Linked DNA regions of Lonchura striata. The protein of the gene in region 1 purifies or fractionates together with the protein of each later gene. This does not show direct contact. Links are inferred from orthologs where the notes say so. Each region holds a gene or a part of one and is shown in the gene's direction. Other genes may lie near its edges.

Region 1 (7,050 bases):
GAGAATTGTGGGTGTGGAGAAGTGTGGGTGTAGAGATGTTACTCAGTGCAGGGGCGAGGCTGGATAGGAAGAGCCAGAGGCACAGGTGTCAATCAGGATTCTGGTGAGGTGGCTCCTGTCCCCGTGCTGCTCTGGTGTCACCCATGATCTTCTGGGCACACCCTCTCTTGGGGTTATTGGAGTGTGGAGGCGTCTCCCAGAGCTTCTCACCCTCTGGTACCCTCAGGAATTTATCACAAGGTCCTGGAGCTCCATGGATTGACAGCCCTGGCATCTCTAGTGTCATGGTTCCTGTCCAGCAGCAGCGGGAACAAATTTGTGTCCTGGAGGAGGAACAGTGGTCCTGGCACTATCTGACCCACTCCCACTGTACATAATGCTCAGTAGAGACAAGGAAGAAATGAAAGCTTCTGTTTCCCATCTGCTTCTTTAAATATAGGTGCCAACACAATCTCAAACTTCAAGGAGGTGTTCCTGAAATCTGGGAGTTCATGGTGAGGTCAGTCACAGGTCACAAAGCAGCAAAACACAGTCTCTGCCACCATGGGACAGAGAAGGAGGTTAATGTTTCACAGTATCCTTAGCTGAGCAGCATAGCTCTGTCAGTGTTTCACTTGGTAGGAATTATTTATTGACAAGAAGGGTTTTCAGACTGTCCCAAGGAAAATTCTTTGTGAAACTGTATTTTTTTCAAGTTAATCTATTAGGAACATGAGTTGAAAACTGACCCAGGGATGCACACTCCCTGTCAATCAATTACATTTAGGAAAGGAAAGATTAAAAAACTCTTGAGGCAGAGCCAAGCACTTAAAAGGAAGAATTCTCTGCATTGATTCCTGTGGTAAAATGCCAAGACAAGCCTCGTGATTTCCTGGACCAAGTGCAGAGAAATGAAATTAAAAATATGAATAGGCCAAATACTGAGATCCTTATTACAGAAAAGGGCCACTCAAGGGTACCTAAGATCTGGCCTCATCAGGGAGAGAAAATAATTGAGAGAGCTCTGGTTGCAGATCAGCCATAGCTTTGTGCTCAGCATCCTCAGCAACCTTCTTTTTCCTCACCTTCCAGCTTGCTGTTCTCATGCCAATTAAGAAGAAAAAAAAAAAAAAAAAACAAAAAAACAAGGAGCCGAAACTACCTGCTCTATTTTTAATCCTATTTGTCAGTAGATAAACTGCATGCTAGATGATTAATAGATCTTTATCACTTCATAAAGTTTAGACTACAAAAAGCCTACCCCTCTCTTTTGACTGTTAAATAACTAAGTAAGCTTTGCTGCTGTTACTTGGGATCTAAATTAGTCACAGCACTTCGGAGAGCATTTGTTAATATCTCAAGTGGACCACGTGGCCCTGGCAGAGCCAGAGGGGAGTTTGTCCCCTTGTGTGGCCCTGGAAAAGCTCAACTGCCCGCTTTCAACTAGGAAGACCAAGCCATGGAGGCTTGGTTAAGGAAAAATTGGGCACAGATGTAGGCTGTGTTGACCCTGCCAGGGCTGCACTCAGCCATTTGCATCTTTAACACATGCTAATTCAATTAGAATTTGCATCTGCTGAGGGTTTGGGGATTGTGGTGTCAGCATGGCTCTTCACATTGACCCCTCTGTTCCCAGGGCAAGCATGAATTTGCCTTTGTTTAGTTTTCCCCTTTTAAATAAGAGCATAGGCTGGAATTGTGGGGCATTTGAGCAGGCATTAGACAAAGCCTGAAAAAACTTAACCTCAAATGTACGCATCACCAGAGGCTATAGCCTCTTCTGAATCAAGACCATGGGTTTGGATTAAACTGACAACTTCTGTCACTGAAAGAAGAGAAAATCTGAGCCTGGCCTTCTGCATCTCCTCAAACACAGCACACTGATCTGGTAGCCACCAAGTCCAGATGGAAATTGATGGTTGCCTATAAAGACAGTTGTAAAAACTGTTGCAATCTGCTGTTTTATGGAAGCTATTAAATCTGTCAGCTGGCCCAATCTGTACCTGAAAATGTTTATCTTCCATGACACATTTGCCTTCAATTAGCTATTCAGTGGTTGCAAAGAATTTTTTTGCCTTTGTCCATGTTTTTTTTTTTCTTCTGAATTAAAGTGAAACAGCAGCGTAGGTGCATTAGGTGGTTAATTCCAGCCTCATGTATCTGTCCTACCCATGAAGCAGGAGCAGTGGTGGAGCTGGAGGGAGGGCTCTGCCAGGGATTAAACCAGTATGGGTGGTCTCTTCCTCCAGCACTTCCAAAATCCAAGAAGGAAGAACCAAATCCCTGCAAGCTAATGTGTAATTACTAAAGCAGAGAAGAGGTATCGTCCTGCAGACCCTTGCCATCTACTTTTTGAAAGCAGCCTAAATCAATATGCTGCAGTCCTACAACATGTCCAGGGGCCTGATTCACTTTCATGATAAACCTTTGGAGCAAGTCATGAGGACCAGTTTTAAATGTTACTTTGCTGGGATACTGACAATGGATATGGAGATGATCTGATGAGTGGTGTTTTCTGCAGTGCATTAATAACAAATAATTTTGTACAGGATACAGTAAATGAAGTCTTCCTAACAGTCAGCTAAAAATACCAATGTTAACTCAGGTTGTTTGCAAACTTGTTCATAAAGGATTAAGCTAACAAAGTGAAAGGAGGGAGGAACATCTTTGCTTGGATAGGAAAAAATAGAAAATTTCTGAGGAAGAATTTGGTGTGCTGAGAACTGATGTTACAGCATGAGTTTGGCATCTCCTAATGTTGTACTTTGTGTACCTTGTATTTTCATGCCAAGCACTAAACCAAATGCTTTTCTGTGGATTTGTTCTGTTACGAACTATTTTTTATTTAGCCTCACGGCCATTTCTGTGAGTCCATATCTGCTCCTGGTTAAATGGTTGCTTATTACCTTTTTAGAGTTATACAGCCAACAAAGCAATGCTCAGCCAGGGCTATCACAGTAACACTTCTGCTAACAAAGAGGAGGGAGTTGTACAGTGTTCAAAAGAAAATCCCAGCCTCCCAAAACCCAGCATGTGAGAGGTGGCTTTATATTGAATTGTTGGATAAAGTTGTGCAACCCTATATGCAACCAAGTGTAGTCAGGCTGCCTCTCCTGCCAGGGATGCCACCCACATCTGTCTGGTTATGCCTACATCAGCTGTTTCCTCAGCCCTGCACCTCGGGCTGAGCCTGCTGTTGCTGGGTGCTGCTGCTCCACCTCCAGCACTCCCCAAGGCTCTGCTCCTCACAATCCTCACAGCCCCCCAGCCATCCCTGCATCCCTGCTCCTCACAATCCTCACAGCCCCCCAGCCATCCCTGCTCCTCACAGCCCCCCAGCCATCCCTGCATCCCTGCTCCTCCTCTCTCCCCTGAGCTGCCCAGCCAGAGGCCCCCATGGGCCCAGGCACTGCAGCCAGCCTGCAGGTGAGGTAGCCCTCATACAGAAATGGTTTTATAAATGTGTCTTTAGGTAACGGGCAGCAGTTCAGCAATTCCCTGTGAGGGACTGCCAGGCCAGACTCCTGCAGGCAGCTCCTTGGAGGAAGTGTAGAGGCTTGCTGGAAATACACTGAAATCCAAGAAGCACCACGTGCAGACCTGGTTGCTACATCAATTTGTTCATTAGGCAATGGCTGCTCCTGAGACTATAAACAGAATTTCACTTGCTGCAATAAAAGCAGGATAATTTCTAGACTTCTTCAGGGACCAGTTTGTCCACTTTTATTCATGAGGTAGTGAAAACAAACCTTCCCACTCTGCAGCTCTTAATGCTCTTTCTCTATTGGTGGCCTATTTTCTGCTTGAGGACAGGGAGGGACCATTGAGTCACACACAATCTCATGCCCTCTTCTTCCTCCTCCTCCTCTCATTTAAATATTAATATGATGAATTATTACTAGAGTAACAGCTGTGCACTACTCATATCACAGCAACATAACCTTCCCCTCCTCATTGGAGCACAGCTATTCCTGACTCGTGTTTTCTGGTTGACCTTCTCACTTCTTCTGGATGACTCTTTAAAAATCACTTTGTTAGTTCTGGTGTGGTATCTTTACGATAATTGCTTGTTCTGTTCTTTCTACTAAATATTAATGATACTGAGGAATTCAAAAGATAGCTGCAGTAATGGTAAGTTAAATGTCTGTGTGTATTCTCCCATGAGATCTGTTTTTTAGAGAGAAAGAAGTGTAAAGATGAATCTTTCTAACTAACACTTAGAAACATCTCTTTCTCTTTGAGAATTGCCAAAATAATATATTTATTATATATATATATATATATATATATATATATATATTGTCTTTTATAGAAATAAAATAATTTCATATTAATCAGCTAGTGTCTCTAGATAATTCATAGAAATAGCTAACATTGTCCCTAGAAGCCCTAATACATTGCGTTCTCTGTAGATAAGGTATTTTAAGAAAGACTGCTAATAAAACCATGAGACAACTCTGTGTAGACTGCTGAAAAGAAATGTTTGGCATAGAAAAAGAAGGGGAGAGAAAGATAAAACACCACCAGTTAGCTCAATGCAATTGGAAATACCAAAAAAGCATTCCTGGGCAGATTTGGAAATGTTAGCAGATGTTAAGTTTTGTGGGAAAAACTGCTGAGTACCTTTTTGCACGGGTCTTGTGTTTGTGTATGTGTGGTTTACAGACACACAGGTTTTCTCCTCCATTGAAATTGTGGCTCCTTGGGGTACTCTGATGTTGCAGAAGGGTTTGTTGGTTTCTGCACCACTGTTGTGGAGAATGTAATGCCAGCAGGAGTGTAGAAATCAGATTTACTGGACTGGCTTGTATTTAGCTTGGGATGAAACTCTTTGCTGTTGTTGCTTACGGAAAAAAAATCTGAAATGCTCTTAAAAATTCTTAAAAATTACATGTCTATATTTTCATTTGAAAGGTTTAATTTTAAAATTTTGTTTTAGTACATCATTGTTCTTAAAGCCAAACAAAATACTTTCAATTTTAATAAAATATTGTTTTATTGCTTTACTGGGGAGGGGGATGTTGTTACAAGCTCTTAAATATAATAGGAAACCTAAATATCAGTCCAAATTTATAAATTATGCCTTTCTTTTCCCACCCGTGATGAAATCAGTAGAAACTTTTTTTCCCCAATCAGCCTTACCAGTGACAAGAGAAAGGGAGGCAGGAGAGCTCTGCTGCCAGAGAACTCTGCCCATTCACAACCAGTGGCCAACCTGTGCCTGTCTAGGGGCTGGGGAAAAGAAATAATGAAAAGAGGGTACTGCAAACTGTTTCTAAATCACTGGCTGCTCTGATACAACCCCAAAAGTAGTGCTGTAACTTCTGAATATTTTCTCTACTGCTTTTTTCCTGAACAAGTACTTAGTGTGAACAAAGAGCCTCATCTCGACTGTTTACAATTCCTACTGCAGTCAACAAAAGTAAAACCATGAATTGAGACATGCTCAGTACCACCTATATACATATATATTTTTGGGTTTTTTCCCTTTGTGTTCTGTACCTCCTAAAGTTTGTTAAAGTTAGAAAAACTTTTGTTCACTCAGTTTACCATCCCCATCAGGGATGTCTTAATTCTCATGCATGTTACTGTACTGCAAATTATTTGGCAAAAACGCTGCTTTTATAAAAAGCCTTGACAAACTCGCAGCATATGCCCCGGATAAAATCTCCTTTCAAACAGTTCCCTCAGATGATTATCTGCAGTGATTGCAAATGAACCTTGTAGCAAGCTCATAACAAGTGTCCTCGTGGACGGAAGAGAAACCTGCTGTCAGAACTACAAATAATTGACGTAACCCAATTTAAAGCTCTAACAAAATGTTCCCTGTTAAGAGGATTGTTATACTTAACGTGTGAGATGAAAATGCTTTCTGAAGGTCAGGAATGCACAGAAGATAGATTAGATCTCTTGAAAACACAAAAAAAAATAGGTTTATACCAGAAGTTTTTCTTCTGTCAGACTTTCAACTTGGCATTCTCAGAAACTTACATAAGTGCAGATTTACTCCTGCAAATGCTGTGTTTGCTCTGAAGAGGGAGAGGAGCCTCAGAGCTTCAAGAAAAATACAAGTGAAGGTAGACTGGAGACTCAGGTTATTTTCTGTACATTTACATAGATTCTCAGGTATATTTCACCAGCAGCAGCATAAATAAAAGCTTGTTTTAAACAGCACAAGGGTGGGTTTGGGGAAGTATTTCCTGGATTCTGCCTGCACGGCAGCCAGTATGATGCTGGAGGGCTCCAGACAGTCCGTGCTGCTGCTGCAGGTGAGCCAGTCCCTCCTGCAGCAGTGCCTGTCCCACAGGTGACAGTGGCGTGGCACTGGGTGGCCTCAGATGTGCTGCAGCATCAACCCCTGCAGCAGGAGGGCTGGGATGAGCTGGCTCCCCTCGAGGGGTCCTGCTTGCCCCTGGCTGCTGCTGAGTGGCAGAGGGGTGGGACAGCCTCTGCTGAGGCTGGGGAGGGGGCTCTGAGATGTACATCCAAGCCAGGCAAGGCACCTGGGCAAGGAGTCCTGCTCTGCTGCTGTTCAGTGGCCTGGTTGCCTCTGCTCGGTTGGGAGTTAATGGAAAACTGTCAAACAGAGCCACAAAACCTGAATTCAGCATGCTGGAAAACAGCTTTACGAGGTCTGGTTTTTCTTAATAGGATTTAGGGGGTGCGGCATGACTCTGAATGCTTTTCACATAGGATACAATGGAAAGAAAATGAAATTACAGCCTCTGTAACCATCAGAAAGCTGGGCTAGAGTTAACATTCTCCTCATCCCCTGCACACAGTCACATGTAGTTTCTGGCCATCTCTCCAACAGCCAAAACCTGAGATTATAGAGAAGTTGATGATGGAGATCATTCAAACACTGAGCCTCTCACCTCCCTCACTGTTGCATTCCCCCAGGTCCCGCTGTTTCTCTGTGTGCCCTGCCTGCCCTGGTGCTGGCTGTCCCACAGCCTGCAGAGCTGCACTGAGCAGCGTGGGCTCTGCACCAGGACACCAGACAAGCAGCAGGCTTTGGCTGGTAAGAGAGGCTGTGTGGCCACGTGTTGGAGTAAAAGAATAGGAAAAATC
Region 2 (7,978 bases), on another chromosome or scaffold:
CACGTATTCCTGTTCTACGCTAAAACATCATTGAAGTACTATTTCCTACTGGAACAGCTGACAATATAATTTAATTTGGACTGATGTGGATTGAAACTTCAAAAAAAAAACTTTACTATTAAGCCCTTTGGTTTTCAGTGTTTAAAGGATCTGAGATAATTATGAAAAAATGACAAGCTAGCACCCAAATTTGATGGATCAAACTCAATAAATTAAAAAAAAAAAAATCAGTGTAAAAACAATTTGCCATTGAAGTCAAAACAGGAAAAAAACCCAGAAGGCGCTGAACTTGTTTAGCATTGCCCAAACAAGAGATGTTTTCTCAGGCACTGCACAGCACTCTTTCTAAAGAGTACTCCTTTAAATGAAAGCACCAAAGCTACCTCATTCATGGACTTGGAAATGCCATAGAAAATACTCTGGGAGCAAAAGAATCAATCATCCAAAACAACAGAATTGCCTGAAAGACATGGAAAATAACTCCAGCTGCTAGAATCATTAAGCAGCATACACTGAAGAAAACAAACGGCAATTCCATGAAAAAGTTATCATAAGTCTGTCACCCAAACCTAACAGTCCAGTTCTAATAATGTCTACAAGAACATGAAATTACTGGCTATAAATTCAACAAACAAGCATCACTTGCTGATATCTCATGGTTCCCAATCAGCAAACAGCCTTAGAAAATTAGAGAAGGAATCACACTGATTCTTTATGTCTTAAAAAAACGCAAAGCAAACCACTGTAAAATTTTTGTGAAACAGTAACTGACAAAACAGATAGACACACTAGTGAAAGCAAAAAGATCATAGCCATTTTAAAAAAAATTCATGTCCAAAATGAGATCAACTTTCTTCCATTGACAGCTAAAAATCTAAAATATTATACCATATATCTTTCAGTCAAGTAACTGCTGAAAAATACTGAAACTGAGAATTTGGTTATAGGGTTTTTTGTGTTTAGAACATCTTGGAACTTACTTTACTTCCCATTCTGACATCCAGCTTTTCATTCCATTCTTTATTGGCTGCCAAACGCAGGTATGCTACCAGGAAAGTAGCACATTATATGGGAGTTTTGAGACTAAAAATATCCTGTCTATCACTACCTGTACTGCTAGGATTTTACATGCAGCAATGAGCAAGACCAGCCTGTTCATCAGTCAGGCCTCAAAAGATCCCGATATGTGAAATGCACAGCTGTTCCAAAGTAATAAATCCTTCTGATTTGGTTTCTTGTGTCACCCTGATTCTTAAGATTTTCTAAAGCCTTCTGAGTTTACATTCTGTTAGAAAACTTTCCCACACATTTTCTATAAACAACATATTGTTTTGCATTCCTTCGTGGGAGTGGAGGAAGTTGATGTACTGGTGGTTTGTTCAATGTCTTTGGAGAGGTGGCCCATTCACTCTCCAATCCACTGTCACCTTTGGAAAAGTATAAAAGTTGGAGTCAGAAAAATAAACCCTCTTCTTTTTTACCTTGTCATCGTAGTGGCTCGTGTTGTGCTTTCTTGTGTCCTATAGCGACATTCTTGGTCTCTTTTTATATGAGAAATAGGTAGTTTTCAGCATAACTTTTACCAAGCTATTATATTTAAAAGCACTGTTACAGCAGTCATTGTTACAAGTTCCTACACCAGCCCTTTCTGCAGAGCATAAAGCATTTGCCTAAGTTCTAGAAACCCTCATATACGAAAACCTCATTGCCAAGTTCCTTGTGGCAGATTCTCCACCTTTAAAAGAACATTTTATGTTCGGAAGAATACCTAGAAACACCTGCCAAACAAAAATAAAAGCCTAAGCAAAAAATCATTAAGAATGTATTTCTAAGCTGCTTCAGTATGACAGCTAATTTGTAGTGATAGAAACTGGGCCACATAAGATGGCTTTGACTTCCCATCTCTCCTGTTTTATTTTTGGAATAACAAAGAACAGCCACAAAATGAAACTTTATTCCAAAAAGTCTTATCTTGTCATCTGTTTCTCTTAGGGTTGGTATCTCCATTCTCTGAAATTATGTAGTAGGACACTGCACTCAGCAATGCAGTGGAATACAGAATGTAATTTTCACAATACCCTAAGACAGACTTGAGATAGACAAGTGTATCAGGCTCAGTACCTAAAAAGGATTGCTTGCCCCACCTTTGTTCCTGCACTTATAATGGCTCAGGTCCAACAGTGAGTGAGCGTTCTTCACTCAAGAGGCAGAAAACTCAACATAAAAGTATAAGCTAATAGTTCTCTGTTCAAGAAAGAACTGGACTCTAAACAGCCTTCACAATTTACTGCTGTTAGGAGAAAAGGGGAAAGTCACAGGAAGGCATCATGCTCTTTTCTTGGCAGTGGTATAGTAGAAGGGCCATTGGACATTTACACTATACCTGTCAATTTTCAGTTATTAACACGAATACAGCAACACACCACTTATTATCATTTAGAAAATACTTCTACTCCCTTGAGAAGACTTTTTATTAGAAATATAATCTCCTAAAGTTTTTAAGGTTCATTTGAAATGGTCTCAATTATATGAAAGTTTATGCAGTAACCTAATAACCCCAACTGTACAAATACCACCCTCTTGAGTTAGAGTTACACATAGCATTAAAGACTTTCATTATACAAGGTCAGGAAAAACTACATTATAGAACCTTTGTTATTTATCAAAGCCTATCTTTTAAGCTCTAAGACCAGGTAGGTCTTAATCAGGATTTTTTGGTCCAGCTTTCTGCCCTCTGGCAATCAGACTCAGTTTACTGAACACTCAGGCTCCCCATCTTCTGAGGGATTTCCCTTTGCAACAAAGGACATTGCCCTGAAATAATCAGCTGCTCTTTGAGAACTTAAGCACCCTTCCATCAAACTGAGTAAGGCAGTAAAGTGATTCTTCTGGTATCCTGCATGGGTGGTGAAAAGCCGTTGCTATGAGCTCGGCCTGCATCCAGATAATGTCAAGCATTACATTATTTCAAAAGCATCAAATAATGCCCAAAGCATGCCACGTAAAATTGCAGAACCTGGATGACAGGGTCATCCCAATGGGGACAAAAATCTCAAGTTGTATAACTATATAAGAGAAATAGGTAAAGCATTAGATTTGACAGCTTTGAGAGTAACGATGATGTTTATCCTACAGTGAATTCCTAACACTGCTAGTAATGATGTGGAAAATGCTGTACAGCTTAAAGGAGTTAAAATTGCACATCACTGAGAAATAAAGAGGTTCTTTGAGAAACACCACAAAACTTGAGTTATATCGCCCTGTATTGGGGCTGTTTGTGCATCACCATATCGATTTCTACATGAGAGGCACCCCGAGATGCATGAGATCAAAACTACCTTGGCATTGTATGGAAAGAAAATTCTTGTGTCCAAGAATGTAAAGGGGAAAGGCTCACCAGAAATTCAGGTTATGAATTTATTTAACACATATAATGGATCCAGTGTAAGGAGATCCAGTCAGAAAAAAAAATGAAAATAAGTTGTATGAAGAGAATACATGCATCCAATGTATCCATTAGATACAGTCAGCTCTAATAGGCTCACACACAGTTAAACAACCCTGATATTAGTCATTCTAACTGTTCTGCGATAACTGTTAACTGCAAGTGTCAAGTAGCATTACCATGTCCATTTCATCTACAGGAGAAGTAGATAGAAATTATTCCTTAAAGTTCTATCTTGTGGAACAGAAGAGATCTATCGCTAATATAAGGAACTGATGCTCCTTTGAGATGGAAGTAAAAAAAGATTTGCTGAGAATCAAGTAGCTATTTGAAAATGTTTCTATTGTTTCTTTCTTCTTTTTTGCAATGTTGTTTTTTATGGCACAGGAAACATCCCAACATGCCATATTGGGGTACTGTGCTCAGAACACAACTTTTCACACCAGTAGGTTCACATACCCACAAACTATCCACTGGCTTTCTTCAGAATTTGGACATTTGCCTTTGCCCAGTCAGTGACAGTGTGAAGGCTGGTAAGCCTAGGTGTCACGGCTGACAGATTCAGGTGCTCTCTGTCAGGCTATACACCACGCTTCTTGGACAAAGTGTCAGGTATGAAAACACTCAATGATATGGGAAACAACCACTCTCATTAGAGTCCATTTGTACACTCATCTTTACCACGAAAACCGCACCCGAAGCAGCAGCGGTCCTGCCCGAGGAGCGTTACGGTGACACGAGCGCGTGTCACAGCGCCTGTGATCGGGGGTGGGGACAACCAGCCCAACTTCCCCGCTGCGCGCTCGTCCCAGCCCGGCCCGGGCGCTCCTCGGTCCCGGGCGGCGGCTGGGGCAGCCCGGCCTCGCCCCGCGCCCGTGCCGCTCACCTCGGAGGCGCCTCTGGTATCGCTCCAGGGACTCCTCCAGGGCGCGCTCCCCGCGGGGCGCCCGCATCAGGACGCCGCTGGCTGCCGGGCAGCAGCCGGCGCTGTCTCCCAGCACCGGGGGCTCCCCGCGGGGAGGCTGCGGGACAGTAGTTCCACCCGTTCTACCTTCCCACGTTGAGCTCTCGGAGGAGACATCTGCGGGGGTCCCTCCGGCTCCTGGTGGCCAACCGTTGCCGTCGGCCGCCGCAGCTGAAACTAGCAACGCCAGGAATCCGTCGCGCTTCCCGATGGCGGGAATGCCTCCGCCAGGACTACAAGTCCCGGCATGCACCGCGCCGCCGGCGGCAGAGTTCCCGCCCACCGCCCACCACCGGCAACCGGGAAAGGGTGGTCGCCGCGAGCCGTATCCCCTTTGTTGTGGATCGCGGTCGCAGTCGCGCCTGCGCACAGCACAGCCCGCCCGCCTACGCCCTCAGGCCTGCAGCGAGCTCAGCACCGGTCCCGGCACGGCAGGGGCGGATCGGGGCGGGAAGCGCCGTTTACCTCCCGCCATCGCCCGCGCGGGGAGCGCCCGCAGCTCGGGGAACGCTATTGTCTGCGGGCCGCGCAGGCGCAGCGCGGCCCCGCCGGCCGCTCGGCCCCGGCGCGTGCGCAGTGCGGCGCGGTGCCGCGCCGCTGTGCCGTTAGCCGCCGCTATGTGCAGGGAATAACGCCGGGGCCGTTGCCAGAGGGACACCGAGCGCTCCGCCCTCGCTTCGCATCCCGCGGGATGCCGGCTCGCTGAGCACCCGCTAGCGACGGCCCCTCCCCGGCGCGCGAGCCTCCTCGGAGGGGTGAGTGAGGATGATGCTGCCGCCGCCGCCCTGCGGGTCGGGCGGGAGCCGCGGCGGGGAGAGGGGCTACGGTCGCGCCGCGGTCCGTCCGGTGCCTATTGTGTCAGGAGGTACCGCCCGCCGGGACCCGGGCGGGCTGCGGCCGGCGGAGGGGGAGGTAACACGGTCTGTGCGCAGCTCGCTCCCCCTCCCCTGTCCCCGCCCGGCCCGCAGGTTACTCCGCGCCCCCGCCTCCCTTTCCCCTCGTCAGCGCGGGGGGATCGCCGGTGGCGGGGGGTCATCGCCTCGGGCGGGACGCGGACGGCATCCCACGTCTGGCATTTGGTGCTGCTGGATCCCGCTGCCCGCGTCTCCCTGCCCCTTTCCGCCCGCGGGGCGCCTCGGCACACCCACCCACCCAGCCCCGGGGCTGCGCAGCCCCCCCTCCCGCGGGTGGATTTCCGCGATTCCAGCGGAGACGTTTCCAGAGGTTTAATTTTTTTTGGGGGGTGACCTTCTTTCGCTCCCTCCCCGGGGCTGGAGGCAGCGTGTTTCTCCGGATTTAAAAATCAGTGACGTCCTTCGTCTGGGATGCGGCGTTTCCCTTCGTCTCCTTGAAATAATGTCTTCTGTGAAAGGATGATGGAGAAAAACTGTGGGTTTCACCTTTTCTCATATTGCGTATTTCCACCATACGAGTCGGGTCCCCTGCTTCCGAAAATATCCTCCCGAAGGCGTGAGCTTTTCCTTTTTCGAGGCGCTTCCCGGGAAAAACATGAAATCGAGGTTTTTGTCCCAGTGGCGAGGAGCAGCCCGGGCCCACTTTGTGTGCCCGCCGTGGAGACGAACGGGTTACTGCGCTAACAAAAACCCGATGGCGATTTTCGAGCAGAAAGCGGCGTCGCAGCGGAGGAAGCGGGCGGGAGGGGCGGGGACGCTCCGCGGGCAGCGGGGCCGTCCGCGCCGGGAGCCGGGCGGGCACGGCGAGCGCTGCTCCCGGCGCGGGCGGCCGCGTTCTGAGCGCTTTTTCAGCATAAGCCGACAATTAGCCCACCAATGCTCGCGGCTTGGTGGGAAAAAAAGAGACGTAGATGGTATGCTGATGAGTTGTGTGTACATAAGGATTGCTTTATTGTGACAAGGGATTAGATAGCATCCGCTGATCTGCACTTGGAGGAAATTATTTTCTTCCCTGTGAAAGCAAAGGTACTCATAAAATATTTAAGTACTTTGAAAGAATAAAGCCTGCTCTGGCGCTGCAATGATCATCTTTTCTCCTTTGGAATGCCATTCAAGGCTTTGTGACAGCGTTCTTGGCCCTGGGCTTGTGTCTGCAAAATGATATGTGGGATGGGACAGTTTTTGTAAACTGAACGGAGACGACTGCATATGCTGTGATTTCCTATGATTAATTTCCTCTGGGAATTACTTTATGTCCAGATGCTGAGAAGTCTGTCTTGCTGAACTCTACTGATATGGAAGCTCCTCAACTTTAAATTTGATTTAACGGGGAAAAAGTTAAACAGAAACACTGCAAAGAATCTCCCTTCACTCTTAGATTATCATTTTTTTTAAACACTTTTTCACCTTCATGTAAGTGTTCTGTTTTTGTTGGCTTTTTTTTTCCTTTGTCTGGTGGAGGTTAGGAAGGCTGGCTGAATAGAGATAGTAGTGCAGCTCGGATACAAAGAATTTGTCAAAATCTCAAGAATCTTGAAGTTACTTGAAATGGATCAGATTAAAATGCTTTCTTTAATTCTTTTGAAGACAAACCATCTGATTTATAAGTTGTTACTGTTATAAATGAGAATTTATTCAGCCAGATTAAAAATAAAAATAATTTTATAAGTGGTCGAATTCTATCTAGCCAGCCACAGAAAAAGACAGTGCTGAGCCCAGGGTTGGCCCTGGGTGTGCAACAAGGAGTCAGCCTCAGCAGAGGTTTTTCCCTATGCCCACACACCTCCATCCTGGCACAAGCGGTTTTTATAGGGAAAATTCTGCCTGAGGCCAAGATTTCAGCAATCAGTCTTTTCTTCTATTCAGAGTCCATAGGTTAATAAGATTTTACTTTTTTGGTGATGAGGAGGAGTAATTCAGTGTCCAGAGTAGGTGAATCCCTGATAAGATTTACGGGAAGGCTGTATTCACATGTATCTGTCTGAGGATTTCCATGATATCCATCTCGGGTCGCTTATGCGATGATCAGTACCCGATGATCAACACCTGGAGTCCCGATGGTCAGCACCTGGAGTCCAGACATGGCCCATCTCCTGGCGAGCCACGTCCTTTTACTTGTAAATCAGTTTCCAATATACACCCAGTCTCGCCTGCAAAGGGGGGGGGGGACGGGACAGGGGGACTAATACAAACAGGCATAATCTAACAAGTATCCAATATTACATATTTCATACAAGGAATGGTGCGAATTATATTTACTACACATAACATTACCAAACTTTGGCATGACAGTGCATTGTTTGGGGAGTGGTTTTGACATATGGCTATTTCCCATATCTAGTCTAACTCTTGAAAAAAAAAAAAAAAGGTTATTTCTATATTGACTTTCATCTGCTGTAATGGACTTGACAAGCAAAATTTCTTAAAAATTCTGTTGATAACATACAAGCCAGAAAAGCTCCAGCTTATGAAAATGAACTGGAAAAGTCTATGTTCGGTTGTAGTTGTTCCTCAAATGCCTGGAATGAAACCCAAGGCATGAGTAGTTGCAAAAATTGATTTTGCTGTACAGTTTCCAGTTCTTGGCATTGCAGGGAGAAGGTATACCATAGTATCTTCTTGATTCTCTTAACAGGGCAGTTTCCATGTTAGCAC

What was found.
Region 2: the proteins of MAPK6 (region 1) and CEP170 purify together in Homo sapiens (affinity purification with mass spectrometry; 3 studies listed by BioGRID and IntAct, with this or other methods). This does not show direct contact. The link is inferred for Lonchura striata from reciprocal best matches to the Homo sapiens genes MAPK6 and CEP170.

The regions. Positions count from the first base shown.
Region 1 is NC_134613.1:12,692,894-12,699,943, reverse strand, and holds the start of MAPK6 (mitogen-activated protein kinase 6), read left to right. Parts: upstream 1-3,947; 5' UTR 3,948-4,110; intron 4,111-7,050. UniProt on the Homo sapiens protein: Atypical MAPK protein. Phosphorylates microtubule-associated protein 2 (MAP2) and MAPKAPK5.
Region 2 is NC_134605.1:31,172,635-31,180,612, reverse strand, and holds the start of CEP170 (centrosomal protein of 170 kDa), read left to right. Parts: upstream 1-4,969; 5' UTR 4,970-5,164; intron 5,165-5,809; coding exon of another isoform or gene 5,810-5,837; exon of another isoform or gene 5,838-6,126; intron 6,127-7,978. Other genes in the region: SDCCAG8 (serologically defined colon cancer antigen 8), read right to left, coding at 4,332-4,398.